Sus scrofa: one gene and its partners. The protein of the gene in region 1 binds, or shares a complex with, the protein of each later gene. Links are inferred from orthologs where the notes say so. Each region holds a gene or a part of one and is shown in the gene's direction. Other genes may lie near its edges.

Evidence for each region.
Region 2: SF3A3 (region 1) and SF3B4 share a complex: the UniProt entries of both Homo sapiens proteins name them as parts of the 17S U2 SnRNP complex. The link is inferred for Sus scrofa from reciprocal best matches to the Homo sapiens genes SF3A3 and SF3B4.
Region 3: SF3A3 (region 1) and SF3B2 share a complex: the UniProt entries of both Homo sapiens proteins name them as parts of the 17S U2 SnRNP complex. The link is inferred for Sus scrofa from reciprocal best matches to the Homo sapiens genes SF3A3 and SF3B2.
Region 4: SF3A3 (region 1) and SF3A2 share a complex: the UniProt entries of both Homo sapiens proteins name them as parts of the SF3A subcomplex of the 17S U2 SnRNP complex. The link is inferred for Sus scrofa from reciprocal best matches to the Homo sapiens genes SF3A3 and SF3A2.
Region 5: the proteins of SF3A3 (region 1) and SF3A1 are in contact, whole or in part, in an NMR structure (PDB 2DT7), measured with the Homo sapiens proteins. The link is inferred for Sus scrofa from reciprocal best matches to the Homo sapiens genes SF3A3 and SF3A1. Residues at the interface, in NP_006793.1 of Homo sapiens: Glu80, Phe81, Glu83, Phe84, Tyr85, Arg87, Leu88, Ile91, Lys92, His95; in NP_005868.1 of Homo sapiens: Ala161, Phe162, Asp165, Val166, Leu169, Thr170, Phe173, Asn177, Phe181, Gln184, Leu185, Lys188, Phe195.
Region 6: SF3A3 (region 1) and SF3B1 share a complex: the UniProt entries of both Homo sapiens proteins name them as parts of the 17S U2 SnRNP complex. The link is inferred for Sus scrofa from reciprocal best matches to the Homo sapiens genes SF3A3 and SF3B1.
Region 7: SF3A3 (region 1) and DDX46 share a complex: the UniProt entries of both Homo sapiens proteins name them as parts of the 17S U2 SnRNP complex. The link is inferred for Sus scrofa from reciprocal best matches to the Homo sapiens genes SF3A3 and DDX46.

What each region holds. Positions count from the first base shown.
Region 1 is NC_010448.4:93,955,373-93,959,482, reverse strand, and holds part of SF3A3 (splicing factor 3A subunit 3), read left to right. Parts: intron 1-337; coding exon 338-502; intron 503-594; coding exon 595-705; intron 706-1,841; coding exon 1,842-1,932; intron 1,933-4,110. UniProt on the Homo sapiens protein: Component of the 17S U2 SnRNP complex of the spliceosome, a large ribonucleoprotein complex that removes introns from transcribed pre-mRNAs.
Region 2 is NC_010446.5:99,126,339-99,130,103, forward strand, and holds the end of SF3B4 (splicing factor 3B subunit 4), read left to right. Parts: intron 1-2,083; coding exon 2,084-2,257; intron 2,258-2,473; coding exon 2,474-2,661; 3' UTR 2,662-2,880; downstream 2,881-3,765. UniProt on the Homo sapiens protein: Component of the 17S U2 SnRNP complex of the spliceosome, a large ribonucleoprotein complex that removes introns from transcribed pre-mRNAs.
Region 3 is NC_010444.4:6,290,405-6,295,314, reverse strand, and holds the start of SF3B2 (splicing factor 3B subunit 2), read left to right. Parts: upstream 1-1,664; 5' UTR 1,665-1,719; coding exon 1,720-1,852; intron 1,853-2,010; coding exon 2,011-2,060; intron 2,061-2,360; coding exon 2,361-2,438; intron 2,439-3,519; coding exon 3,520-3,768; intron 3,769-3,963; coding exon 3,964-4,014; intron 4,015-4,910. UniProt on the Homo sapiens protein: Component of the 17S U2 SnRNP complex of the spliceosome, a large ribonucleoprotein complex that removes introns from transcribed pre-mRNAs.
Region 4 is NC_010444.4:76,407,668-76,411,777, forward strand, and holds part of SF3A2 (splicing factor 3A subunit 2), read left to right. Parts: intron 1-2,405; exon of another isoform or gene 2,406-2,564; intron 2,565-2,934; 5' UTR 2,935-2,973; coding exon 2,974-3,099; intron 3,100-3,899; coding exon 3,900-3,971; intron 3,972-4,110. UniProt on the Homo sapiens protein: Component of the 17S U2 SnRNP complex of the spliceosome, a large ribonucleoprotein complex that removes introns from transcribed pre-mRNAs.
Region 5 is NC_010456.5:47,314,705-47,318,558, reverse strand, and holds part of SF3A1 (splicing factor 3A subunit 1), read left to right. Parts: intron 1-302; coding exon 303-420; intron 421-683; coding exon 684-869; intron 870-1,553; coding exon 1,554-1,675; intron 1,676-1,777; coding exon 1,778-2,023; intron 2,024-2,554; coding exon 2,555-2,762; intron 2,763-3,216; coding exon 3,217-3,371; intron 3,372-3,854. UniProt on the Homo sapiens protein: Component of the 17S U2 SnRNP complex of the spliceosome, a large ribonucleoprotein complex that removes introns from transcribed pre-mRNAs.
Region 6 is NC_010457.5:101,285,820-101,289,929, reverse strand, and holds part of SF3B1 (splicing factor 3B subunit 1), read left to right. Parts: intron 1-860; coding exon 861-1,058; intron 1,059-1,208; coding exon 1,209-1,310; intron 1,311-1,731; coding exon 1,732-1,911; intron 1,912-3,113; coding exon 3,114-3,200; intron 3,201-3,320; coding exon 3,321-3,591; intron 3,592-3,877; coding exon 3,878-4,023; intron 4,024-4,110. UniProt on the Homo sapiens protein: Component of the 17S U2 SnRNP complex of the spliceosome, a large ribonucleoprotein complex that removes introns from transcribed pre-mRNAs.
Region 7 is NC_010444.4:136,978,555-136,982,664, forward strand, and holds part of DDX46 (probable ATP-dependent RNA helicase DDX46), read left to right. Parts: intron 1-71; exon of another isoform or gene 72-1,318; intron 1,319-2,156; coding exon 2,157-2,300; intron 2,301-2,724; coding exon 2,725-2,821; intron 2,822-4,110. UniProt on the Homo sapiens protein: Component of the 17S U2 SnRNP complex of the spliceosome, a large ribonucleoprotein complex that removes introns from transcribed pre-mRNAs.

The sequences.
Region 1 (4,110 bases):
GGCAAATGCCATAAAACCTTTGACTTTTTCCTTTATGGTCAGGGAATGAGTTCTGACATGAAGGCAAGAAGTTCCCTTTGTTCTGCAAAAAAGAAAACCTGATCTGATCCTTGGAAGTGAGAGATCAACAAGAGTTGCAGGAAAATAAATTTCCTCCCTCTTTTTCCTTTTGGCTGCACCTGTGGCATGCGAACGCTCCCAGGCCTGGGATCGAACCCACACCATAGCAGTGACAACGCCAAATCCCCAACCCTTAGGCCACTAGGGAACTTGTAAATTTTCCTTCTTGTTCTGCACTATTCTCTGACTTCCCTTTTCATTTATGGATCTGACTTAGGAACAGCGACATCTCACTCATGAAAATGTACAGCGCAAGCAGGCAAGAACCGGAGAAGAACGAGAAGAGGAGGAGGAGGAGCAGATCAGCGAGAGTGAAAGTGAAGATGAAGAGAATGAGATTATTTACAACCCCAAGAACCTGCCCCTTGGCTGGGATGGCAAAGTCAGTCCAGACACTCCCGTATTCCTTGTTTCCTGTTTTGAAAGCAGATGCAGACACCAGCCTAACACTCCTTCTTCTCTGATTTCTCTTAGCCCATTCCTTACTGGTTGTATAAGCTTCATGGCCTGAATATCAACTATAACTGTGAGATTTGTGGAAACTACACCTACCGGGGTCCCAAAGCCTTCCAGCGGCACTTTGCTGTAAGGAATTCAGAGCCTTTTCTCCTGGATGTTAAAGTATGAAACATACTTTAGAGAAGTCTTTTAGAGAAGAGGGTAGGAGCAGCCTGAGAGGATCACTGGTGTCCAGAGTGCAAGAGAATCAGCGAAGGAGTGGCTCTAATGTCCAGCATGTGGCATTTGGCCTCGGGACCAGGGCTAGCCTTGGGTTGTACCTGAGATGGTTCTGGAGGTGTTCTACCACTTGGCTATCTGAACCTCATTTCCTTTTGCACTTGCTCGCTCTTCAGTTCTCTCTTTTTGTGTCTCTGAATCCTTGGTCATTTCTCTGTCCCGCTGTTAGTATTCAGGACCAAAGAAGGGACTGACCATCTCCTTTGGGTCCTGAAAGGGCCTTTGCCTCTTTAAAAAAAGAAACGAAGAGATTGACATTTATCAAGCTCTTCTTGAGACAAGGCATTATCTAGGTGGTACCCCAGTAAGTGGATTCACCCTTGTTTAGTTTCCGCCTTCAATTCTTATACTTGGAAGGAAGTTTTACAGAATGAAAGGCTTGCTTAATGTAGCCTAGGATAGCGAATTTCTATGACCTCTCTCTCCCTCAGACGTACATATTACTAATTTGTCCTGGGTCTTTCCTGCCAAGCTCCTGAATAATCTCTGAATCTTTCTGAACACTACCTCCATTGAATTGGAATTGGTCTCCTGGGCCCATGCCATTTGTAGTCCCTGAGCCAAAACTGTCCCTGTATCAGTGTCTCCCTGGTCTCTTTCATATACTTGGTTATACCTGATAAACAATCTTCTCCTTAATTTCCAGAGATAACACTGACCTGCCATCAGTGTTGGCTACTCAGGCATGTTGGTAGCTGGGGTTGCATGGGATGTTATTGATAAGTTAAAGTCTCCAAGAGAGGTTTTGTCTGGATCTAGGGCCTAGGTTTTATAAACCAGCTCAGTGAAGCAAACTATGCAACGCTTTGACGTAACTGCCTCTGATCAGTCATAGCAGCAGTCTAGAGTCAGGAACCACAAAGGAACGTTGCCTTTAGGTGGAGCCTTTTAGAAAGGGTCAAGGTGGCGTTTATGAGCACAATGGAATTAGTACTCTGTGTTCAGTCAGTCCCGTTTTACATTGTTCTCTTCTTTTCACGCAGGAGTGGCGTCATGCTCATGGCATGAGGTGTTTGGGCATCCCAAACACTGCCCACTTTGCTAACGTGACACAGATTGAAGATGCTGTCTCCTGTAAGTAAGCTTTATTGTTCCCTGAGCCAGCCCTCTAGTTTACTGTCCCAATACCCTGGCCTAAGGGCAGCAGGGTGTGAATGTGTACAAACTACTCCAATTGTACAAGCTGCATTTTGAGGGGATGAATTAGCCAGCAGTACTGATTGTTTCCCCCTTGGGAAGTGTTCTGTGCTGAGGATAAAATGGTTTTTAAGTGGGTTCTGTGAACTCCCCTGTATGCAAGATTTTGAGTAAATGAGTATGTATATTTTTCTGAATTGACTTTACTGTGTTAAGAACTACAGACATGGAGTTCCCACTGTGGCACAGCTGTTGCAGCTGTGGTGTAGGTCACAGATGCAGCTGGGATTCAATCCCTGGCTCATGTTATACCATAGGTATGGCTGAAAAGCCAGCAGAAACAAAAAACTACAGATATGAAGGAAAAAATTAAAATGGTCTCAGCAAGCTTATTTCTTTTTTCTTTTTTTCTTTTTTTTTTTTTTTTGTCTTTTTTGTTGTTGTTGCTATTTCTTGGGCCGCTCCCGCGGCATATGGAGGTTCCCAGGCTAGGGGTTGAATCAGAGCTGTAGCCACCGGCCTACGCCAGAGCCACAGCAACGCGGGATCCGAGCCGCGTCTGCAACCTACACCACAGCTCACGGCAACGCCGGATCGTTAACCCACTGAGCAAGGGCAGGGACCGAACCTGCAACCTCATGGTTCCTAGTCGGATTCGTTAACCACTGCGCCATGGACGGGAACTCCAGCAAGCTTATTTCTGAGCTGACAGGACAGGTACACAGCAACATGGCAGCAAAATACCTCTTAGAGAAAAAGCCAAGTGCCGCACGTGTCCGGGAATTTTCAAGTGCGAGTCAGGCTTCCTGTTTACCTGGCCATGGTAGCTTTTTCTGCCATTAGCCTCTTCTTCTCAGGCTTCTTGTTTCCTTTCTGGTTCTTCTCTTCTCTGTCATATTTTCACTTTCAATGAGTTAGACTGTGAAGAAAAGGATTTTACCACTCCACTTTATTAAATTTCAGGCTCTCCCTCCCAGATGTATTTATCACACTACTTGGCTACTTGGTCAACTAACTTCTTTGGCTCCCAACTCTAAGGTTGTTGAAATCATCCAGGGCAGAGCTAAATAGAAATGACCTTCTAAAGAGCTCCCTGATCCCTGACTTAATCTTTGGATCCTGGGGACTTTTTCATTGCTTTTGTGTGTGGGTGCAGTCAGCTTTAGGAACTCCTTGCTGTTTTGTCTTTTCTTATTCATTTGCAAGTCAGGATCCTACAGTTCTGCCAGTCAGGATTATAATGCATCTTGTCATCAGATTATCCAATTAGCTTCTTCAGTTTTTGCCCTTCATTTTGTTGGGATAAAATTTAAATATTAGGAGTTTCCTTCGTGGCTCAGCAGCAATGAACCCAGCTATCATCCATGAGGATGTGGTTGCAATCCCTGGCCTCGCTCAGTGGGTTAAGGATCTGGTGTTGGCTGTGAGCTGCGGTGTAGGTTGCAGATGCGGCTCGGATCTGGCGTAGCTGTGGCTGTGTTGTAGTTGGCAGCTGCAGCTCTGATTCGACCTCTAGCCTGGGAACTCTCACAGTATGTGCAGGTATGGCCCTAAAAATACAAAAAAAAAAAAAAAAAAATTTAAGATGGTAATGAGAGTTCTCTGGTTGTTCAACACCCCCTGCCCAACAATAGTAATGAAATTTCATAGAATGACAATGCTGCATTTTGAATGTAATCTCATTTTTAAATATATTTTCTAGCTGCATATTACTAATTAGTTCATTTTTGTGTGTATTTTCTTATGTCCTGCAAATTGTCTGTTACTTTTACTTCTTTTTTATTTTGGTCTTTTTAGGGCTGAACCCATGGCATGTGATGGTGCCCAGGCTAGGAGTCAAATCACAGCTGTAGCCACTGGCCTATGCCACAGCAACACAGATCCCAGCCATGTCTGCGACCCACACCAGAGCTCACAGCAATGCTGGATCGTTAACCCACTGAGTGAGGCCAGGGATAGAACTTGCATCCTCATGGATGCTAGTTAGACTTGTTTCCTCTGAGCCACAATGGGAACTCCACTTTATTACTTCTGATACCTTGAAATTGATATAGTTACACTATTTTAGGCTTACGATTATGCCAACTACCAAGATAATGTTTCAGTTTATTTTGT
Region 2 (3,765 bases), on another chromosome or scaffold:
TCCCAGGCTAGGGGTCGAATCGGAGCTGTAGCCACCAGCCTACGCCAGAGCCACAGCAACGCGGGATCCGAGCCACGTCTGCAACCTACACCACAGCTCACGGCAACGCCAGATCGTTAACCCACTGAGCAAGGGCAGGGATTGAACCCGCAACCTCATGGTTCCTAGTCAGATTCGTTAACCACTGCGCCACGACGGGAACTCCCAGACATTCTTTTATAGAAACAAACACAAAATACTTTAGCCTGTTTACTTTAACAACTATCAGCCTGTTTTCATTTCTTAAAGTTTTACCGAAGAGTATAACTATACTTGCTGGGTTTTGTTTTCTTAACCTTTACTTCCATTCTTTCCTCTGACTTCCACCCCAAAGCAGTCACCTACATGCCAAGTCTAGGCTGCTCCTTATCTTGTTTGATCTTTGCTATTCTTGAAACTGGCCGTGTCCTCCTGTTTGAAAATCTTGTCTTTTTTGGTTTTTATGGATTCTCTTTCTCTCTGAATCCTCAATCTCAGCCACCTTAATAGGCTCCTTTTTCTCAGCTGAGGTTTTTGTGTCTGGCTCTCTTTTTTGCACAGTCCCATTGTTTGTACACTGATGCCACCTAGATGGGTGGCTGTTCCATGGGTATTAACATTCCATACCCTTAATCTTACTGTTTAATGGATGACTACTTTTTTTTTTTTTTTTTGTCTTTTGTCTTTTTGTTGTTGTTGTTGTTGTTGTTTTTGTTGCTACTTCTTGGGCCGCTCCCGCGGCATATGGAGGTTCCCAGGCTAGGGGTTGAATCGGAGCTATAGCCACCGGCCTACGCCAGAGCCACAGCAACACGGGATCCGAGCCGCGCCTGCAACCTACACCACAGCTCACGGCAATGCCGGATCGTTAACCCACTGAGCAAGGGCAGGGACTGAACCCGCAACCTCATGGTTCCTAGTCGGATTCGTTAACCACTGCGCCACGACGGGAACTACTGGATGACTACTTTTATACCCCTGCCCTTCAACCTTATTCTTTCTCTAGTAGTCTTAGTTTTCAGGTGCTTGATTCAGAAATCTGGGAGCTATGTTTGACTCTTCCCTGTTACCCCACTCTTTTTTTTTTCTGTCTTTTGTCTTTTTAGGGCCGCACCTGCGGCATATGGAAGTTCCCAGGCTAGGGGTCTAATTGGAGTTGTAGCTGCCAGCCTACGTACGCCACAGCTGCACCAACACCAGATCTGAGCCGCATCTGTGACCTACACCACAGCTCATGGCATCACCGGATCCTTAACCCACTGAGCAAGGCCAAGGATCGAACGCACAACCTTACGCACCATGACAGGAACTCCACCCCACTCTTAATACCAAGTCTTATTAATACCTCTGCCATCAGCCCTCATTGTCAGTGCCCTAGTTCAGGCTCTCATATCCTCATTATTCCACACCTAATTTATTGTAGTAATTTTCTGACACTTTGACTCTAATTATCTCTACCTTCGATCGACTTTCAGTGAGTAATTTTTCTAAAATATAGATGTTCACACACCCTTGCTCAAAATTCTTTTGCTCCCTTTTACCTATCGAGTAAAGGCCAAACTTGTTAGCATAGCAGTTCTAGGTTTGTCATGATCTGGCTCCTCATTGTTCCCACAACTGCATTCTCCTGATTACCGACTTACTGGTTTTCCTATAACATACTGTGCTTTTGGACGTACTTGTGCTTTGCACGTGCTAATCATTTTGCCTAGAATGTTCTGTTCCCACTTGTTGTCCCCCTGAAAAATTCCTCTTTATCCTTCAGAATTGGATCTTGGTTCAGGCAGTATCTCTGTTACCTTCTCAAATCCTATTCAATAGCATAATCGTTCCATTTGTTACATACTTCTGCAGCACTTGTACAGTGCCTAAATCATGGAAGGAGCCAGCTGGGTGGTTGGGAATTGATTGGATCATAGGTTGGTTGGTTCTCTTGCTTGGAGTCAAGGATAAGGGCACTTTTTACCAGCCTTATTTTCCTTACTCTTTTCTTTCTCATTTTCTTTGCCCCCTTGTCTGATTTTCTTTTGTCTCCTTTGTGTTTGTGTCTGTTTTGTTCTCATAGGGATGTCTCAGATGCAGCTGGCCCACCATGGCCCTCATGGCTTAGGACACCCCCATGCTGGGCCCCCTGGCTCTGGAGGGCAGCCACCACCTCGACCACCACCTGGAATGCCTCATCCTGGACCTCCTCCAATGGGCATGCCCCCTCGAGGGCCTCCATTTGGATCGCCCATGGGTGAGTAGGTTCTGGCCACCTCTCTTGTCCTCATGTGTCATATTCTTGCAGCTTCTTTAGTCACACCTCTTATCCCCTGTGTGTTCTTTCTTTTCATTCTTGTATTTCTTTTCACTGTTTGCTTGTCTCTCCTCTTCCTTCACTGTCCCAATGTTTTGTCCTATTTGTCCCAATTATCTCCTAATTGTTTTTACTAAGTTCGTTCTTTTCCTGCAGGTCACCCTGGTCCTATGCCACCACATGGTATGCGCGGACCTCCCCCACTGATGCCCCCTCATGGATACACTGGCCCTCCACGACCTCCACCATATGGCTACCAGCGAGGACCCCTCCCTCCACCCAGACCCACTCCCCGGCCTCCAGTTCCCCCTCGAGGCCCACTTCGAGGCCCTCTTCCTCAGTGATTTCTCACTGTCTTTGCTCCTGTTATGTCCTCCCAATATCTTTTCACTTCCTTGGACCAATCAGAGTTGCTGTAGCTCGCAGGGGCTAGGGCACTAATCCCTCTCAGGCCTTTTTTGTAAGTGTAATTTTTTTTCCACAGGAGGTTTTTTTTCCCCCTCTATGTTGGTCCGAAGTGCTTTGCAAATGCACAGAGAAAATAAAACTTAACTCCTTGTTTATTCTTTGTGGTGTTTTCCTTGGCAAAACAACTTCTTTTTCTCTAATAAGAGGTGTCAGTCTAATAGGGAAAGACTGGTAAGGTCAGAATAAGGGTGTTTACTCCATGGTTTAAAGGCTTATTCTGGGAGTTCCCATTGTGGCTCAGCAGGTTAAGGATCTGACATTGTCTCTGTGAGGGTGTGGGGTCTATTCTTGGCCTCACTCAGTGGGTTAAGGATCCAGCATTACTAAGCTGTGGCGAAGGTCGCAGAGGTGGCTCAGATCTGGTGGTGTCATGGCTGTGACATAAACCCCAGCTGCAGCTCTAATTCGACCCCTGGCCTGGGAACTTAAGCATGCCGCAGGTATAGCTGTAAAAATAAAATTAAATAAGTAAATAAATACAGACTTATTCTGTAATGTGCTGTGGTGGTTGCTGGACTGCTGTGTACTACAGCAGTTATTTCTTTACATTAAACTTACCCATAAGATGAAGACCCAATATCTGTGATAAAGGATTATTGTGATTATTGTGACTATTAAGTGAGAACAGAATTAAAGTTCCTGAGGTAATGCTGGCAAAAATATGAAGTAACATGCACAAAGCTATTCATTGCAGCACTCTTTGTAATAGTAGCTTGAAAACAACCCACTTATCCATCAGTAAGGATCTGGTTGAATAAATCGGTAAATCTATACAATGGAGTACTGAGAAGCAGTTAATAGAAATGAGGGAAATTCTACTTAGCTGTTTTGGAGAGATCTCCAGGATATAGTAAATGAAGAAAGTAACATGCAGAACAGAATGTATAGTGTGCTTCCTTATCTAAGGGTTGGCATGTAATATACACGCTTGTCTATATTTTTATTCTATTTTCTTTACATTTTAGGGCTGAACCTGCCCC
Region 3 (4,910 bases), on another chromosome or scaffold:
TCTCACCTTCCCTGGACCTGACGTCTCATTCTTTTTTCCCTGCTCCCAGGTATTCCTCTTGGGGATGGTTGGTGAAATAGGGCATGGTAGAGAGATCTGAGGAGTGTAGGGGTATGGGGATAATGAGACCTACACACACGCGCGTGCGCGCGCGCGAGGTAAGCCTGGCTGTCAGAGAGCAGAGCTAGAATGGGAGAGGGACCTCACTGCTAGTGGCAAAGGCAGGAAGTAGTTAGGACAGGGAGACGTGAAGGCGGACACATAAGGGGCACAGGCCACTGGTGGGGCAGGGGAGCACCAGGCAGGGTCAGCTGCGCCAGTAGGCTGCTAGGGATGAGGAAAGAAAAGGGCCTGAGTTTATCCTGTCGCCATAAAGACGATTCTTTTTTTTTTTTTTTTCCGGTCTTTTCTAGGGCCACACCCGCAGCATATGGAAGTTCCCAGTCTAATTGGAGCTGTAGCCACTGGCCTACGCCAGAGCCACAGCAACATAGGATCTGAGCCACGTCTGCGACCTATGCCACAGCTCCTTAACCCACTGAGCAAGGCCAGGGATCAAACCCGCAACCTCATGGTTCCTGGTTGGATTCGTCAACCACTGTGCCATGAAGGGAACTCCAATTAAGCGCCTCTTTAACGCCAGGTACTGTGAGACAGTAAAAAGGATTCATGCCTTTTTTTTTTTTTTTTTTTTTTTTTTACTTTTTAGGGCTGAACCTGCAGCATATGAAAATTCCCATGCTAGGGGTCAGATCGAAGCTGCAGCTGCTGGCCTGTGCCACAGCCACACCAGATCTGAGCTGCCACAGCTCATGGCAACGCTGGATCCTTAACCCACTGAGCGAGGCCTGGATCGAACCCGCATCCTCAGGGATCCTAGTCAGGTTCGTAACCTGCTGAGGCGTAATGGGAACTCCAAGACTCATTTCTTTGGGGTTGGAAGTGTGGATAAGGGGCAAGAAAGACTTTAAAACAAATGACGGAGGTTTGGACGTGTTATGGAAGCTCCAGAGCAGGAAAGGAAGGCGGCAGGAGATGGCTCAGCGGAGATGACATTTGAGCTAGGAGATGACATTTGAGCTAGCCGGGAAGGTGGAAAAAGGGTCTTTAGTGTGGCCCTTCCCCCAGGTCGGCAGTTGGAGCTCAGCCCGGAGGGCCCGCTCCATTCCGGCTCCGATTCCCTTTCAGGCCATTCATCCAAGCCTGGGCCGGGAGTGGGCGGGCAGACAATCAGACACTGTTTTATCCCAGGCATCGGCTGCAACCTCCCGCCCGGCGCCCACAGCGCGCGGCCGCCCGGGGAATGAGTCCTCGGGAACGTCTGCGCCTGGGCCTCTCCCGCCTGAGCTGGAGTCGGGCCGGAGGCGGGGAGGTCTGCGCAGCGGTCAGCGAGACGCAGAAAGCACATCCTCCGCTCCGGACCAGCGGTCCCCACAGTCCCACCCCGGCTCCGGCCCCCAGCGTTCCCGGTACTGCGACGGACCACCCTCCTCCCAGAGGCCCTATCCTGTTGAGCCCGCAAAGACCGTGATCTGCGCACTACAACTCCCAGAAGGCTTCGCGGCCAGGCCGCCTAGGGACCATTGACGAATCGCAGAGGGTGGTCCGCCTAACCAGCCTCGAGCGGACGTGGCGTATGGCGCTGCCGGAAGTTCCGGGAAGCGGGCCGGGAGGCCGGCCCGAGCTTCCGGGTGGGTCGCGCGCCTTCCTGCGGCTAAGATGGCGGCCGAGCATCCCGAGCCTCCGAAAGGAGAGTTGCAGCTGCCGCCGCCGCCGCCTCCTGGGCATTATGGTGCCTGGGCTGCTCAGGAGCTTCAGGCCAAATTAGCGGAGATCGGCGCTCCAATCCAGGGTGAGGAGCACGGGTGGTCAAGGGCCGGAAAGTGTAGGCCCGCGGGGAAGCGGAGCTGGTTACCCCGGAGACCCGGGGGCGGAAGAGTTGGGGGGGGCGGGGGCTTGACTTGGGCCTGCTCCGCCTGCCTTACCCCGTTGATCCTGTGCTTTGCCCAGCAGGGAGTCGCGAGGAGCTGGTGGAAAGGCTGCAGACCTACACCCGCCAGGTAAGTGTTGGTGGGATGTCAGGATAGGCCGAGCTTTTGGAGGAGGCGGTTCGTGATCCCTCACGCTTCGTTCTTCGTTCTTGATGTATCTCGGTACAGCGAGTGAGGTCTTGCTCTTTTTGTCTCTTCTTGTCTTCTTTGTTGTAATCGTTTCTGTACATGCTGGTCCCCCCCCAGAACCCCGTCTGAGCTCTGGCAGACAGACCCTGGGTAAATTTTGTCGAACGGACACGAGCGAACATTGTTTAGCGGAACAGCTAGCTCCTTTTGGACTGACCTGGAGCCCTTTCTCTTTCGCAGACTGGCATCGTCCTGAGTCGGCCTGTTCTGAGAGGTGAAGATGGGGACAAAGCTGCTCCCCCTCCTATGTCAGCCCAGGTAGGGCGGTCTTCCCACTTGTTAGGATCCCTTTTTGCCCAGAGTAGCCCCTCCTCTCATATGGAGTGTGTGTTTGGAGGTTGCAACCAGCAGTTTGGGTGGTACTGTGATGACAGAATTGGGAACTCTTCAGTTCTCCCTTGGTCCTCATCTTTGCTTCCTTTGCTGTGACAGCTCCTCCAAATCCTACAGGTCCTTCAAAGTTCAACTTAAATATCTGTAAGCCTAATTTGATCGTCCCATCCTCCTCCAGGTAGAAGTAATTAACCTCTTTTTTTGCTGTCCCAGCACACTGTTCCCATGTTATTCAGTGACAAATTAGGGCTTCCTCCCTGATTTGATTCCTTTCTTTCTTTTCTTTTCTTGTCTTTTCTTTCTTTATTTCCTTCCTTCCTTTTTTTTTTTAGGGCCACACCCGTGGCATATGGAAGGTCCCAGGCTAGGGGTGGAATTGGAGGTGTAGCTGCCTGCCTACACCACAGCCGCAGCAACTCTGGATCTGAGCTAAATCTATGACCTGCAGCAATGCCAGCTCCTTAACCCACTGAGAAAGGCCAGGGATTGAACCCGAGTCCTCATGGATATTGATCGGTTTTTTAACTGGTAAACCACAATGTGAACTCCCGAATTCTCCTTTCTTGATGTGGCTATGGAGTGTTTTTTGTTTTTTTTTTTTTTCCTTTTTTTTTTTTTTCTGTCTCTGTCTTTTTAGGGCCACACCTGCAGCATATGAAGGTTCCCAGGCTAGGGGTCAAATTGGAGCTGCAGCTGTCAACTACACCACAGCCACAGCAATGCCAGATCCGAGCCACATCTTTGACCTACACCACAGCGCCTGGCAACACCAAATTCTTAACCCACTGAGTGAGGCCAGGGATCGAACCTGTGTCCTCATGGATGCTAGTCGGGTTTGTTAATCTCTGAGCCACGATGGGAACTCCAAGAGTAGTCTTTTTCTTGAATGCAAGAACTGTGTGTCGTTTGACTTTGAATCCCAGCACCTGGCTCATTGTAGTTCCCCAGCAAGTATTTGTAGTAGATCAGTGCCTCCAGTTAATGGTCATTTTTTTTTCCCCCACAGCTCTCTGGGATTCCCATGCCACCCCCGCCCATGGGACTCCCCCCTCTACAGCCTCCTCCACCACCCCCACCACCTCCACCTGGCCTTGGCCTTGGCTTTCCCATGGCAGTTGGACCCCGCCCTCCAAACTTGGGCCCCCCTCCTCCTCTCCGAGTGGGTGAACCTGTGGCACTGTCCGAGGAAGAGCGGTTAAAGCTGGCGCAGCAGCAGGCGGCATTGCTGATGCAGCAAGAGGAACGTGCCAAGCAGGTAGCAGCCTGAGCCTGGGGCTCATCAGGGTCCTGAATGGGAAGTGGAGCCTCAGAGGGAGCCGGATCCTGGGGCCTAAGGCTTCTGGGAAGGTCTGGACCAAAGACTAGAACTTGGGCCCTGGCTGGGAGCAGAGTTGGGGCCGACTGGCCTGTGGGATTTTGGTGCTGAAATGAGCTTGTTTTCTCTTTTAAGCAGGGGGATCATTCACTGAAGGAACATGAGCTTTTGGAGCAGCAGAAGCGGGTAATGCCTCCCTCATCCTAACTTTTGACCCCATGGTCCAGTCCATTGCCTGTCACTTTTATTGTTTAGTGTCTGAAATAAGAAGTACCATTCAGGAAAAGTTTTCTGACCCCTGTCAGTCTTAGGTGATACCATTTAGGTGAGGACTCGGGGGGTAATTGAGTCGTTTGTATCAGATTTAGTTGAACACGATGGCCCTAAGTTAGGGAATGATACATAAGATGTTTAGACCCAGGGAGTTCCCACTGTGGATCAGCAGGTTAAGAAACCGACTGGTAGCCATGAAAGGTGCGATCCCTGGCCTTGCTCAGTGGGTTAAGGATGCAGCTTTGCTGCTAGCTGTAGTGTAGGTTACAGATGTGGCTCAGATCCAGTGTTGCTGTGGCTGTGGGATAGGCCTGCAGGTGCAGCTCTGATTAGCCTGGGAGCTTTCATATGCCGCAGATGCAGCCCTAAAAAGAAAGGACGTTTGGTCCCAGAAATGCATTGTACCAGTTACCTGATGGATTACTTTGGAGTATTAGAAAATGACTTTTAATAGCAACAAATAGGGAAACATTTACATTGAACCATCTTTGCCCAGGTTGTGCCAGATCTTGAGAAAGATTAGAAATCACTGTTCCTTAGAAATACTTAATTTTGGGGGGAAGAAAAATTTTGTTGAAAAGGAGAAGGCAGTGTTTACTAAGTAATAAATTCTCTGTTAGGAATCAGGAGTTCCCCCCGTTTTGCTTGGTGTTATTTCCTGGGGTTTTCTCTTGTGATGAGAGGGCTCCCTCATTCGGATCAATAGCCCAGAAGTGTGGGCGTGGCCAGGGTGTCACAACTCCAGTGGTTCCTGATTGTTCGCCTTGGGTGTATAATCTGGCTGAAAGGATGCATTTGCCAGGGCCCGC
Region 4 (4,110 bases), on another chromosome or scaffold:
ACTGGTTTTTGTTGTTGTTTTCTGATACTTGCAATTCCTTGAGTCTCTTTATATTGTTAGCAGTTCTGCATCAAGAGTAGTGCTTTTCGGGAGTTCCCGTCATGGCGCAGTGGTTAACGGATCCGACTAGGAACCATGAGGTTGTGGGTTCGATCCCTGCTCTTGCTCAGCAGGTTAACAATCCGGCGTTGCCATGAGCTGTGGTGTAGGTCGCAGACGCGGCTCGGATCTGCGTTGCTGTGGCTCTGGCGTAGGCTGGCAGCTACAGCTCTGATTAGACCCCTAACCTGGGAACCTCCATATGCCATGGGAGCGGCCCAAGAAATGGCAAAAAGACAAAAAAAAAAAAAGAAGTAGTGCTTTTCAACTAGTGAACTCAGTGGGCCTGGCAAGGTGCTAGGTTTTGGAGCTGGTGCAGGCCCCCAACCGTCAGTCTAAGAATACTTTCTCTGGCACTCTTTTCCCAGAAAAGACTCCTGATCTCCTCTGGACCAGGGACTCCTGCCTTCTGGTCACAGTGGGGTGGGGGCTGCCTGTTGTTCAGTAGGTAGGTTTGAATGGACTTGCCATCTGTTCAGCCTGGCTTCACCGCAGCTTCCCTAGGGCCACTGTACCTGCCTCATTGCCAAGAGGCCCTTCATCCCAGTTTCTGAGAGAGTGAAGCGCTGACTTGCCAGGGAGTTGGTGCTGAAGCTGGGCCCAGGGCCACTCGGATGCAGGGCCTCCCCTCGGGTGTGATCAGTCCCTGGCTGGAGGCCGCCTGGGTGTGCTCTTCCCTGAGTGTCGCCCTGAGCGTGGTGGGCAGTACAGGCTTGTGGTCACTGTTTTATGAGATGATGGTGATGGTTGATGGCTGTTGTCTTTCATACCTTGCTTTACAGGATTCACAAGTTAGAGGCCCTGGCTGGACTTGTATGAATAAAAAGTCTAGCCCTGTTAATTCTGCAGCCAACTGAAAGATCACCCCACTGGTCACCAGATGTGAGGTTTCTGTTAATTCATCAGTTGCACTGCAGGGAGATGGTACAGCTGGCCTGTGCCCGGAGCACTAGTCTCCTGTGGCCGATGCAGTGAGCCACCACAGACTTGGTGGCTTAAACGACAGGACTTAAAAATGTAGCTCTGGAGACCACAAGTTTAGCAGAAGTCGCACTGAGCTTTATGCCTTCCAGAGGCTCCAGGAGAGAGTTGGTTCCTCCTTTTCCAGCTTCCAGAAGCACTGCATCCCTGCCCCTTCCTCCATCCTCAGTCATCAGCATGGCATCTCCCATCTTTCTCTGCCTCTGACCCTCCCGCCTCCCTCTTATGAAGACCCTGTAACAACACTGGGTCCCCCGGGGAATCCAAGATCACCACCAAATCAGGGGCCTTAACCCCATCTGCACTGTCTCCCTTGCCACATGAGGTGGCTCATCCAGGCACCCTGGGGTTGGGATGGGGATGTCTCTGGAGGGTTTTATTCACTCCTGGGCCTCATCCCTGGGAACCTACCCCAACAGAGACATGATAGCACCAGTTTAAATCAGGGGGCCCTGGAGTTCCCGTCGTGGCTCAGTGGTTAACGAATCCGACTAGGAACCATGAGGTTGCGGGTTCGGTCCCTGCCCTGCCCAGGGGGTTAACGATCTGGTGTTGCCATGAGCTGTGGTGTAGGTTGCAGACTCGGCTCGGATCCCGCGTTGCTGTGGCTCTGGCGTAGGCCGGTGGCTACAGCTCCAATTCAGCCCCTAGCCTGGGAACCTCCATATGCCGTGGGAGCGGCCCAAGAAATAACAAAAAGACAAAAAAAATAAAAAATAAAAAAATTTAAAAAAATAAATAAATCAGGGGGCCCTGAGGCCAGCACTGGCCAGCCAAGGACAGTGTAAGATGAGAGAAAGGTGCCTGGAGGTTGGGTCTGAGCCTGAAAGTGTGGAAAATGGGCAGTGGGCCTGGCTGACGAGGATGTGGAGGAGAAACTCAGTATTTTTCTCCAGAAAGCCCTCCTCAGGTGCGAACAAATCTTAAACATCTCTTGTGCATTAGGCAGTGGGGGGAGGGGGCAGGTAAGTAGACTTGTTCCTTCTCTCCAACAAATGCACAGCTGAGCCAGAGAAGTAGAATTTAGGGAGTTTCCATCGTGGCTCAGTGGAAACAAATCTGACTAGTATCCACGAGGACACAGGTTCGATCCAGGCCTCACTCAGTGGGTTAAGGATCCAGCATTGCTGTGAGCTGTGGTGTAGGTAACAGACATGGCTCAGAGCCCATGTTGCTGTGGCTATGGCCTAGGCCGGCAGCTACAACTCCCAGTTCATCCCCTAGCCTGAGAACCTCCACATGCCACAGGTGCGGCCCTAAAGAAAATAAAATAAGAATTTAGGTTGTGGAAATTGAGTGTAGCCGTTCCCACTGTGTTTCAGCAGGTTAAGGACTTGACTAGTATCCATGAGGATGTCGGTGTGAGCTGTGGTGTGGGTCGCAGATGCAGCTTGGATCCTGTGTTGCTCTGGCTGTGGCGTCATAGGCTGGCAGCTGGCAGCTCTGATTTGACCCCTTGGCCTGGGAATCTCCATATGCTGCAGGTGTGGCCCTGAGAAGCAAAAAGCCAAAAAAAAAAAAAAAAGTGTAGATAAGCAGAAAGGGAGCCACGAGGAGGGAGTGAACACTATGGGCTAGGGCAGTCTGGGAAGGCTTCTTGGAAAAGGTGAGACAAGTAAGAACTTGGCCTCACCTTCCCCGTTAACACTTCGGGTCTCTGGGCCTTTGCATTCCTCAGGCATCCTTATTCCTCATTTCTGTGCACATGGCTCATCGTGGGCCCTCAGCCCAGTCTTCTGGTGGCCCAGGGGCTGGCAGGGCAGAGAGAGTGCAGAGTGGGGGTGAGTCTGAACCCAGGAGGGCGAGGTCTCACATGCAGCAGCCTCATGGCTGCCTTGGCCTTGGCCTCGGCAGGTTTCTCCCCTGGTCTGGTAAACCCCCAGGGCCCTCGCCATGGACTTCCAACATCGCCCCGGCGGCAAGACCGGGAGCGGGGGTGTGGCCTCCTCCTCTGAGAGCAACCGGGATCGCAGGGAGCGCCTGCGGCAGCTGGCCCTGGAAACCATCGACATCAACAAGGTACTCCCTGGCCCCGTAGCCCTGCCCACCATTTTCTCTGGCCTCAAGGTCCTGCTCTGAACCAGGGCACTTGACCTAGAACAGCAGCTCTCGCTATCCCCCATAGACCATTTTCTGTTGGTAGCCCCATGTTTGAAGGGTTTTTACCACAGGAAGCTTTACTTAGGCAGAGGCCTGTGGGATTGCCAGTGGTGAAGCCTCAGAGGCCCAATGTGAGTTAATAACGTTGCAACCACAGGCAGCGAAGACCAACAGTTATCTGTTGGTGGACAGGTCCCCCCCACACACAGCACTGTGGACATGTAGGGCCAACCTAGGCACCACGGCATTTAGAGTAGCCCAGGAGCCCCCAACACTGGATGCCCGGAGCTGGCCCAGTGTCCCCTAAGAGCGGAACCACCCAAGTGAGACCCCAAGGTGAGGGATTCCGTGGACCCCAGGAGGCTGTGCTCCACAACCATCTGACCCCTGAGGTCCTGAGATGCTGCAGCACGTTTAAATACACACCTGAGTGGGAGGGAGGGGGTTGCTCACAGGTGCTGGCGGCCACCCAGGTCTATACCATCTCACCATTGGGAGTTTATTCTGCTGTGCAAGCCAGGGATCAAACTCAGGATTTTCTGAGATAATCAACTAAGGGTTCTTCAGGCTCAGCGTTGAGACATTCCTGAAAGGGTTCAGTGCCCTCTCAGTGCCAACCGCAGGAGAGCCAGGATTCAGGAACAGAGGCAGGCCTTGTACCTCAGCCCAGCCACTGGCAGCATGCTACCCACCATCTGACAACTGTGCTTCCCCCTCAGGACCCTTACTTCATGAAGAACCACCTGGGCTCCTACGAGTGCAAGCTGTGCCTGACACTGCACAACAATGAGGTGCGGCCCATCCCGCCCCAACCCCCATCCTGCCCCAACCCCCATCCTGCCCCACTAGGCACCACAGCCTTGAGTGGATCTCCATGAGGAGATCCCAAGGGGTGTTGGGTTGTGAGGTCTGGCTAGTGTGGCTCTAGTT
Region 5 (3,854 bases), on another chromosome or scaffold:
ACTTGCCCCCTGCTCCCCTCCCCAGCATGTTAAGTGCCCTTGGCCTCCTGGGACTGCCTGGTGCCAGCTGCTGGAAATGCCTGGGCGGAGTGTTAGCACCACTGCCCCAGCACTCCCATTCATGCTGTGAGGAAGCGGCTTGGCCAGCTGCCGGCTGGCCTCAGCTGCCCTGGGAGGCTTAGCACATAGATGCTGGCTGGCAGGGGCCTAGGCTTCTTGCCACCTGAGAGCCGCCAAGGCTCAGCTACAGAGAGGTGGCTTCTCGGTCCCTCTCTAAGTCTTGCCACTGCTTTGCTTTTCAGGGTTCAGATGATGAAGAGGAAGGGCAGAAAGTGCCACCACCTCCGGAGACACCCATGCCACCTCCTCTGCCCCCGACCCCAGACCAAGTCATTGTCCGGAAGGACTATGACCCCAAAGGTAGGTTCTGCTTTCCTCCTCTTGTGTTCCTCAGTGTGTCCATTTCCAGGAGGGCTAGAGGTAGCTTGTCATAAAGACATTGATAGCCCCTTTATCATGTCCTTATGATGGGAAATGGGACTTAGTTGTTGTTGGTGTCCTGGCACATTGCACAGTGCTAGGTACAGTGAGGCACTGAATGGATGGTGCACAAAAGAAATGGCACCCTCTTAATGAAGTCTGCCACCTAGTGTTCTTACTCAAGTGTCTCTGTTGCTTTTTAGCTTCCAAGCCCCTGCCTCCAGCCCCAGCTCCAGATGAATATCTTGTGTCCCCCATCACTGGGGAGAAGATCCCTGCCAGCAAAATGCAGGAACACATGCGCATTGGGCTTCTTGACCCCCGCTGGCTGGAGCAGCGAGATCGCTCCATCCGTGAGAAGCAGAGTGATGATGAGGTGTATGCACCAGGTGAGGTGGGGGTTCCCCTCCTAGGTCCACACCTCTTCTTTGACTCAGCCCCAACTCACTGTGGCCCATGGAGATCTCTAAACTGCAGTCAACTTGCTTTGATCAAACATAAAGAATAACAACTAAGGTCAACAAAAGTTTTTGAGGTTAGGTACAGCCTCTGAAACTGTAAAAGGGACCCATTTTCTAGGACTCTCCCTAGGCAGTTACCTGATATAAATCATATGTGCCCATTGACATCCTAGAGCAAGATCTGACTATAGTCAGGAGGGGTGCTCATTCTTGGGGCTGTCATAGTTCTGATAGCTGGAGTATACTGAGGTCCTTGAAATGAGACATGTTGGTCCTTTGACTGCAAAGCAGCACAATAGGGAGGGAGGAAACACCCAGAGGCAAAAGCCAGGCTTTTTGTCCTAACTGTGCTACTTGCCACTCATGTGACCCTGTCTTCTCAGTTGACTTTTGTAAGTCAAGGGGTTGGCCAGGCCCTGGTTAACAGGCTTAGTGCTGATTGGGCAGCCTTCCCCAGGCTCAGATGATAGGCATGCTGCATTGGGAGCCAGAGACAGCCTTGCCCCATGAGAACAGCCTCCACCCTAAACCAGTAAGGCTGTGTGTTGTTGGAAGGGCACCTGGTTTAATTTCCCTTTCTGTCCCCTTCTTCTGTTCTGTGACTACACCCAGGTCTGGATATTGAGAGTAGCTTGAAACAGCTGGCCGAGCGGCGTACCGACATCTTTGGTGTAGAGGAAACAGCCATTGGTAAGAAGATCGGTGAGGAGGAGATCCAAAAGCCAGAGGAAAAGGTGAAGCTCAGATGAATCTTAATGCCTTACCTGCCATCACAGTCCCACATTTGGCTTAGTTTCAGGAGCCCTGACAAGCTGTGGCTTTGCTTTCCCATGCAGGTGACCTGGGATGGCCACTCTGGTAGCATGGCCCGGACCCAGCAGGCTGCCCAGGCCAATATCACCCTCCAGGAGCAGATAGAGGCCATCCACAAGGCTAAGGGCTTGGTGCCAGAAGATGATACCAAAGAGAAGATTGGCCCCAGCAAGCCCAATGAAATCCCTCAGCAGCCACCACCTCCGTCTTCAGCCACCAACATCCCCAGCTCAGCCCCACCCATTACCTCGGTGCCCCGGCCCCCTGCGGTTAGCCAGCAGCCATCTTGTGACTGGTCTTTTAGAGCTGGGTATTTGGGGTTAGATACCACTGGCTAAAAAGAATAACTATCTTATAGCAGACCCAAGTGCTGAGTGGGTCAAGTTGAGAGAAGAACCATTTAATTGGAGGTGGGAGCCTCCAGCCTGGGCTTCCATCTGTGTGGGAAGATTGGAGCAGGGAAGGATGCGAGTGGCAAATATGAGAAGCAGGCTTGGGTCAGAGAAGGGCTGGAAGGTTTAGCAGGTCTTGGACTGCTGACCTTGCTCCAGGGGGCTATGTTGAGGTCAGTCTCTTTAATGACTTGTATTGTCTGCCATGAGCAGCTGATCAAGTCCCAAGTGTAAAGAGTGTCGCCCTGGGCCTCTCGGCATAGTTTCTGTCAGCCCCAATGTGAAGCTGTGCTTTCAGTCCCAGGGCGCTGAGTGGAAGCTGTCCAGCCCCATCCTCAAAGGCCACAGATGGCCAATTGGTGTGCAGTCTTGGATTCCTGTGACCTGTGGGTCCCTTTTCCCCCACAGATGCCGCCTCCTGTCCGTACCACAGTTGTGTCTGCAGTACCTGTCATGCCCCGGCCCCCAATGGCATCAGTGGTCCGACTGCCCCCTGGCTCGGTGATCGCCCCTATGCCACCCATCATCCATGCGCCCAGAATCAACGTGGTGCCCATGCCTCCCTCTGCCCCTCCTATTATGGCACCCCGCCCACCACCCATGATTGTGCCAACAGGTCAGTGTCTTTCATGTCATTTTCAGGCCGGTGTCAGGACTTTAGACCAAATACTGAGCAGAGCAATGGCTGATGGTAGTGCCAGCTCTTCCAGCTCTAAGTCCATCCCAATGGAGAGCCTTAACTTGGCCATGTAAGAGATCCCTGATCTGGGTGTCTGTAGCTCCTGGAAGAGAGGCTGATATGGCAGAAGTGGGTTCTTTGTACCCAGAGGGGTCACGTCCAGACAGGTACAAAGGCCTGACCATACTTGGTTTTTTCTGGTTCCTGCTCCATCCGTCAGTCTGCTTCTCCTTTACTTTCCTACTCTCCAGTCTGGACAGTTTCCCAGGTTCCCCTGCAAGGGAACTTTCTGAATGAGAGAAATGTGAAACCTTTGCAATCTCCTCTCACCAGCCCTGAGTTCTGGGCCCCTTCCCTCTACTCATGTGGCTGTTTATTCCTGCCCTTGCAGCCTTTGTACCTGCACCACCTGTGGCACCTGTCCCAGCCCCAGCCCCAATGCCACCTGTCCATCCCCCACCTCCCATGGAAGATGAACCTGCCTCCAAGAAACTAAAGACTGAAGATAGTCTCATGCCTGAGGAAGAGTTCCTACGCAGAAACAAGGTCTGTGATCCCGTAGTGCTGCCCATGGCATGGCCTGGAGTGCCTAGATTGGGGTTGGGTTGAGGGGATTCCCAGTCCTGCCCCAGACACACACTCCCTAGCCCATCCTGTTCCGCTCCTGTGGTTTTGGCTTCTAGGGCCTAGATCAGCTATTGGAGTTCTTGAAAGGCTTCTGAGCACACTGTAGGTGTGGGATCAGCTGTTGGAGGAGCAGATAGCCGTTGGTGGCCCCCTGGTGTGAACTGTTTTAGAGCTGAGCAAGGAGATCCAGCTGCAGAGGCAGCAGGATTCAGGTGTGAAAGGGGCCCTGGACATTGGAGGAAATCCTGGGTGCAGTTCTTATTCTCTTGTGGCCTTCCCCTCCAACTCCAACCCCAGGAGACCCATGTGTTGCAGAGATCCTATTGGGGTACTAGAAATGAAAGGTGGGAACCTTGGCACTGTGGGTGCTAAGTAAAGAGGCAGAAACAGTCCAAGCCCCAC
Region 6 (4,110 bases), on another chromosome or scaffold:
TCTCTAGGTGCCTGTTCTCAGGGACATTTTGCTGATCAAAAGGTGGTCATGTAGCTGAGGTTATACTAGGGCTGAAACCTAAGTCATTTGATGGCCTTTACATACAGAGCCTTTTCTGCTAATACCTATTGCTCTTTAACAGTTGGTATGTATGTAATACCCCCCTCCCCCCTGTTCAGTTAGCATTAGAGTGTCTATTTTAAGTATGCATGGAATTACTGCTTTATAACTTATTTAAAGACTCCATGTAATGCTGTGGGCGTAGTCAGGAGCCTACTATCAACTACCTGGGTGTCTGTCTTAATTGCATTTATTGATTTCTTTATCAGTAGGAGGGGGAAATCCTCTGTGAATCTGTAGTGAATTTTTTGGGGTTTAGTCAAACGGTGTGTATTTTACAGGGCTTTGCTAAATATTTTGGTTTTAGTGTTTATGCAGTCAGCTCATTTTTGTAGGGCAACTTAAGTAGCGATTTGCTTTTATGATGCAGAGATTTATATGAATGATTTCTAATTTTTATTAAAATATGAACATTTATACATTATATATGTGCACTGTGAGCTTATTTTCATTTATGACATTGGCTCAGTAACACGTTTACATAGATTGTTTGAAAGTGATGAGAATTTCATAAGCCTACTCTGTGTATCTCTTCATTCCCCCACACTTCTGATAAAGTTAATTTAAATTCAATAAGAAATATTAATATTTGTCATATTTTAAAATGAAGACAGAAAAGTCAAGTCAATGTTAATTAATTCTTGTCTCTAAGCAAAAAGCTTCCTAAGTGCAAATATTATTCAGTTATGTTGTTCTTTATAAAGTTAAGGAAATCCTAAACCGTCTTTTAATTCTATTAGGTGCTTCCTCCTCCAGCTGGTTATGTTCCTATTCGAACTCCAGCTCGAAAGCTGACAGCAACTCCAACACCTTTGGGTGGTATGACTGGTTTCCACATGCAAACTGAAGATAGAACTATGAAAAGTGTTAATGACCAGCCATCTGGAAATCTTCCGTTTTTAAAACCTGATGATATTCAGTACTTTGATAAACTCTTGGTAAGTGATAATAGCAGAGATAAAATAGTAATTTTTAAAAAAGGTTTACTGTTTTAAATTATAGTTGATTTAAAAAGTGTTACTTTTTATTTAGTTGTTAAAAATCTTAATCTCCACCTACCTTTTAAATTTTTTACTTTTTCCTATTAGGTTGATGTTGATGAATCAACCCTTAGTCCAGAAGAGCAAAAAGAGAGAAAAATAATGAAGTTGCTTTTAAAAATTAAGAATGGAACACCTCCCATGAGAAAGGTAAGTACCAGTTTATTAAATCATCACGTCATGTAGTCTTAGAGATACTCCATTTTATCCTCAGAGCCTGAAGAGTCTAAGGTAATTACTGGAATTATTTGAGGGAATTGTATCAGAATTTAAAAAAATTTTTTTTTATTATAGTTGAATTGCATTGTGAATTGTATTAGTATTATATGTGGCTTGAAGATGATTGATTCTTTAGGGGAAGTTGAGTTTTATGTTACACTCTTACTCTGTTATCCTTTTTGAATTAACTGAAAACATTTGAGCTTTGATTATAGGAGTTCAAACTTCAGAATAATTTTGATGGGAATAAACTTCGTTCCACTAGTTAGAGAAAACCATAGAATAACTAATTTGCTTATGCAAAATGTTTATTATAAAGAAACATGCCTTTATAATTTTTTTTTTTCTCCAGGCTGCATTGCGTCAGATTACTGATAAAGCTCGTGAGTTTGGAGCTGGTCCTTTGTTTAATCAGATTCTTCCTCTGCTGATGTCTCCTACACTTGAGGATCAAGAACGTCATTTGCTTGTGAAAGTTATCGATAGAATATTATACAAACTTGATGATTTAGTTCGCCCATATGTGCACAAGGTTTGTTTTCAATTTGTGTTTCTAATGGTTTGGTGTTTTTAACATAAAAGGAATTTGTGGACTTTTTTTTTTTAACCAGCTTATTAGATGTATTTATGAAAATTTAAAACTCTAAAACAATAATAGCTGATGGTATACCTTTATTTTTTTATTTTTATTTTTTTGCCTTTTCTAGGGCCGCTCCCGTGGCACATTGAGGTTCCCAGGCTGGGGGTCTAATCGGAGCTATAGCCACTGGCCTATGCCAGAACCACAGCAAGGCAAGATCCCAGCCATGTCTGCAACCTACACCACAGCTCACAGCAATGCCAGGTCCTTAACCCACTGAGCAAGGCCAGGGATCGAACCTGCAACCTCATGGTTCCTAGTTGGATTCATTAACCAGTGGGCCATGACAGGAACTCCGTACTTTTATACTAAAAGGGGAAATTTCAGCCTCTTTAAAATTATTCAGTAACCAGTGTTAAATTTACATACCCTCCAGATCTTTTTCTTTTTGCACAAGCATGCCTCACACATGTACAAATATATACATAAATAGATGTAACTTTTTGCCATCTTATGTGTTGGGTTCATATTACTCATATTTTAAAATCTGCTTTTCTTGATATTAGGATGAGAAAATATGTGTTTCTCTACTGTGCCACTTAGTGCTAAGAACCATTTTTTGCTGGTAGTAATTATGACTTAGAATTGTAAGTTCAGACAGGTGTGTGTGTATATGTGTGTGTTTAATAGTCTGTATGGTTGGAGTTCCCGTCGTGGCGCAGTGGTTAACGAATCCGACTAGGAACCATGAGGTTGCGGGTTCGGTCCCTGCCCTTGCTCAGTGGGTTAATGATCTGGCGTTGCCATGAGCTGTGGTGTAGGTTGCAGATGCGGCTCGGATCCCGCGTTGCTCTGGCATAGGCCGTAGGCCGTAGGCCGGTGGCTACAGCTCCGATTCAACCCCTAGCCAGGGAACGTCCATATGCCGCGAGATCAGCCCAAGAAATAGCAAAAAAGACAAAAAAAAAAAAAAAATAGTCTATATGGTTAACAGTTCTCTCAAATATTCATCTTTATGTGGGGTTGAAATTATGTGATTAAAATCCTAATTTATCCCTTGATTAACAACTTCTTGGCCAGTATAAATTTCCTGTACTCTGTCCCATGAGTATTGCATCAGTAATTGGTGTGACAGTGTAGCTTCTCTTTTTCAGATCCTAGTGGTCATTGAACCATTGTTGATTGATGAAGATTACTATGCTAGAGTGGAAGGCCGAGAGATTATTTCTAATTTGGCAAAGGTATTTATATTTCTGGAGAAGAAAGTTTTATATTAGTTGATGGGATTATTTGATTATAGAAGGAACTGTTTGGGGGGTAATGTTATCAACTCATAACTGTGCTTTTTCTTAAACTTTTAGGCTGCTGGTCTGGCTACTATGATCTCTACCATGAGGCCTGATATAGATAACATGGATGAGTATGTCCGTAACACAACAGCTAGAGCTTTTGCTGTTGTAGCCTCTGCGCTGGGCATTCCATCCTTATTGCCCTTCTTAAAAGCTGTGTGCAAAAGCAAGAAGTCCTGGCAAGCTAGGCACACTGGTATTAAGATTGTACAGCAGATAGCTATTCTTATGGGCTGTGCCATCTTGCCTCATCTCAGAAGTTTAGTTGAAATCATTGAACATGGTAAGTTGTGTTATAACTTTGTTTTTTATAAGACAGATTTCTTGAAATTTAGGCTACAGATTTTGGAGCGAGAAATGGAAGTGAACTGCCTAAACACCATATAGTTTATGATGGGATTTTTAATAGTAGCTGCTCATAGGTTGTGGTTCATACTGGCTTTGGTCTAACTTTGTCTAATATGAACAGCTTCAGTTTGACTTAAGTTGTTATGTGTATCGCTAGAATCTTGATATTATAGAAACTAGGTAAAGTTACTCAGTGGAAACCTGTGTTTGGTTTTTTATAGGTCTTGTGGATGAGCAGCAGAAAGTACGGACCATTAGTGCTTTGGCCATTGCTGCCTTGGCTGAAGCAGCAACTCCTTATGGTATCGAGTCTTTTGATTCTGTGTTAAAGCCTCTATGGAAAGGTATACGCCAACACAGAGGAAAGGTAGATCCATCAATTTGATTTCATTTTTCTTTTTATTTCTACTTATTGAAGTGACTTAAATCTAATGTAACAAATTTGTATTTTCAA
Region 7 (4,110 bases), on another chromosome or scaffold:
TGTCTGTGATATTTATACAGGCCCATTTGGCTCATCCTTATACATAGGTTTAGACTGTCTTTGAAATTTAGATTTTGGAGACACAGAGGCAGGCAAGATGGAGGCGGCAGTGGCCGCTCAGGGTGAGAGAGAGAACCAGTGGTGGCGGAGGCAGTAGCAGGCTGGCGGTGGTCCCAGCTGCGGGACAGGCAGTAGCTGCGGCAGGTCTTTGGACATGTGGAAGATTGATGATAAGCCTGTAAAAATGGACAGATGGGATGGATCACTTGTGAAAATCTTCAGGTGATTCTGCCAAAAAGGTACTTCTGGAAAAGTACAAGTATGTGGAGAATTTTGCTTTAATTGACAGTCGCCTCACTGTCTGTACTGTCTCTTGTTTCTTTGCCACAGTGGCTTCGATTGGGGATTATACACACCCCTTTCCAGAGTCGAAGCCTGTTTTGGCTTTGCACATCCTATCATATCCTTTAACCTCAGGCAAGATCCTTCAGGGATGGATCCTGAGGATACCTGGCAGCTATTATCCAGTCTCAAAAGTTCTGATAACAGATACACTCTGAAGCTGACCTTCATCAGTGGAAGAACAGAGCAGCAGCAGGAAGCCGAGTTCACCTGAGTCCATTGCTAAGGTTTTTGACCACAGCGAGACACTGGTCTTGTATGCATCTGCGCCTGAAATATCGAGGCTCCATGACAGTCTCCCAACAGGGGAAAAAAAAAAGTTCTAAAAGCAGCCGTCTTTCTGCTGGATCATGCTGAATTAAGGGCTGAGGGAGAAAGAAACAGAGAACTTAAAATGGATAACGTAAGAGACGTTACAAATGTCCCGTTTTGTCATAAAATTTTAGTCTCTACTGGATAATAGGATTTGCTAGCTCAATTCGAGAAGTTGTAGCTCTGCTCTCTAGCTGTAGCTCCTTTGGTCTGCTGATGGCATTGTTTTGATTTGCTTTTCTGGAAAAGCATTTTTGCTAAAAGCCATAGAAAATTCTTCCTTCATATCTAGCAGTATTTTATGTCATATAGCTTTGTGCTATGCAGCATTTCAAGACTCAGGCTTTTTGAATTGTTAACCTGTTGCTGACTTTATTGTGTTAATTCCTGTTTCAACAGCTGCTTCCCTTAAATTCAGGGCATAACTTCTTGTGTATGACAATTTTCCTTCACACAGCATTTTTGGGAGTGTGTATATATCCTGACTTGGGGAGAATTGTGGGAAAAAAACCCACAGCTTTTTAATTTTTTTATTTTTTTTGTCTTTTTGCTATTTCTTGGGCCGCTCCCGTGGCATACGGAGGTTCCCAGGCTAGGGGTCGAATCGGAGCGTAGCCACTGGCCTATGTATGCCAGAGCCACAGCAACGCGGGATCCGAGCCGCGTCTGCAACCTACACCACAGCTCACGGCAACGCCGGATTGTTAACCCACTGAGCAAGGGCAGGGACCGAACCCGCAACCTCATGGTTCCTAGTCGGATTCGTTAACCACTGCGCCATGACGGGAACTCCAGCTTTTTAATTTGTTTAAAAGAGACTTTCTGCCTGTTACATTTTGTGCTTTTAACCAGTTAAAGAAGCCAATGGTATTTTTATTTATTTATTTGTTTATTTTTGGTTTTTAGGGTCACACACCCCTGGCATATGGAGGTTCCCAGGCTAGGGGTCTAATCAGAGCTACAGCTGCGGGCCTATGCCACAGTCACAGCAACACCAGATCTGAGCCACATCTTCGACCTACACCACAGCATGGCAATACCGGATCCTCAACCCACTGAGCAAGGCCAGGGATCGAACCTGTTTTCCGCTGTGCCACGACAGGAACTCCGCCAGTGGCATTTTTAGTTTTTAAAAAAAAAAAAGAAATAAAAAGAGAAACTTAGATTTTGTGCTAAGGAACATAGATTTCAAGCAGCTATAATTGGCGTTTCCTGTTTTTCAACAAACGTCATTTTGAAATTAGTATTCTCATTTTTTTCATTGACCACTTTTAAGAATTGCCTTTACTTGTTCTCCTTTTAGCCGATTTGATGGTTAATTGAAATCTCTGTCTTTAGTAATGGTGGTAATTAAGAAGCTTCTTTCAACATGACGTAGAACCATGATCTGACATAGAAGCTCCGTGTGGTCATAGAATACATGGAAAGTGTCTTCCTTTCAGGCGTTCCAGAAGTAGAGAGAGAGACCGAAGTCGGGATCGAAGAAGATCTCGAAGTCGAGACAGGAGACGATCACGGAGTAGAAGCCGAGGCCGGAGATCCCGATCTTCTAGTCCTGGCAATAAAAGCAAGAAAGCTGAGAATAGGTAATGTTGCCGTTGGCTGTATCGATCGTGCAGGCTGGGAACGGACTCTCTTCCCTGTGCTTTTTTTTTTTTTTTTTTTTTTTTTTTTTTTGTCTGTTGTTGTTGTTGTTGCTATTTCTTGGGCCGCTCCCGTGGCATATGGAGGTTCCCAGGCTAGGGGTTGAATCAGAGCTGTAGCCACCGGCCTACGCCAGAGGCACAGCAACGCGGGATCCGAGCCGCGTCTGCGACCTACACCACAGCTCACGGCAACGCCGGATCGTTAACCCACTGAGCAAGGGCAGGGACCGAACCCGCAACCTCATGGTTCCTAGTCGGATTCGTTAACCACTGCGCCACGACGGGAACTCCCTAAATATTTTTTAATTAATGTTTCCAAAAACAAATAGATGATGTCCCTTTCTTTTTCTCTCTTTTTTCATAGGTCTAGATCCAAAGAGAAAACAGACAGTGGAGAAAGTTCTAAAGAGAAGAAAAAAGACAAAGATGACAAGGAGGATGAGAAAGAAAAGGATGCTGGCGTATGTTCACTAACATAAATAATCGTATAATACCATATTTGTTTTTGTAATGACAAATTCTTGTTTGTTTTTTTTTTTGTTTTTTTTTTGGTTTTTAGGGCCATACCTTCAGCGTATGATGTAGGTTCCCAGGTCAGGGGTTGAATCAGAGCTACAGCTGATGGCCTGTGCCACAGCAACGCAGGATCTGAGCTGGGTCTGCAACCTACACCACAGCTCATGGCAACACCAGATTCTTAACCCACTGAGCGAGGCCAGGGATCGAACCCGCATCCTCATGGATGCTAATCAGATTTGGTACTGCTGAGCCACAACAGGAACTCCTCTTGTTTGGTTTTTAATGCTATGTTTTATTTTTAAGTAAATGATAACTGATAAATATGTCTTATTTGCTTTTTAGGGCCACACCTATGGCGCGCGCGCGCGCACTCACACACACACACACACACACACACACACACACACACACACACACACACTGCTGCACTTGCAGCATATGGAAGTTTCTGGGCTAGGGGTTGAATTGGAGCTTCACCTGTCAGCCTACTCCATAGCCATAGCAATATCAGACTTGAGCTGCATCTGCGACCTATGCTGCAGCTTGCCAAGGCCAGATCCTTAACCTGCTGAGTGGGGCCAAGAAGTGAACATGCATCCTTATTGGCAATATGTCAGATTTTTAACCCGCCGAGCAACAACAGGAGTTCCCTAACGTAAAGATTTTAGAGGCGTTCTCTTGTGCGGTGGATTAAGCATCTGGTGTTTTCACTGCAGTGGTAGTGGCTTAGGTTGCTGCTGTGATGCAGGTTTGATCCCTTTCTGGGAACTTCCCTATGTCATGGGTGGGGCCAAAAAAGAGAGATTTTTAGACATAATGAAAATGAAAATGTTTGTTTTTGGAGTTCCCTGTGGTGTAATGGGTTAGCTGTCTGGCATTGTCACTCCGGTCTAGGTTGGTGCTGTCTCTCAGGTTTGATCCCTGTCGCGGGAACTGCATGTGCCACGGGTGTGGCTGAAAAAGTAAAAGAAAAAAAATTTCAGGAACAAAGCTTTTTGTTTAAGAAATAAACTTATTTTAGAAGTTCTCACATGTGGCCCAGCCGGTGATGGAGCCAGTTCTGTCATTACAGCAACTTGGTCGCTTCTATGCTGCGGATTCGATCCTGTCCTAGAAACTTCCACACGCTGCAAGTGCGGCCAAAAAAATTTATTTAAAAAAAAACATACAGACATAATCATATTATAAAATACTTGGAGGAGTTCTCCTTGTGACTCAGTAGATTAAGAAT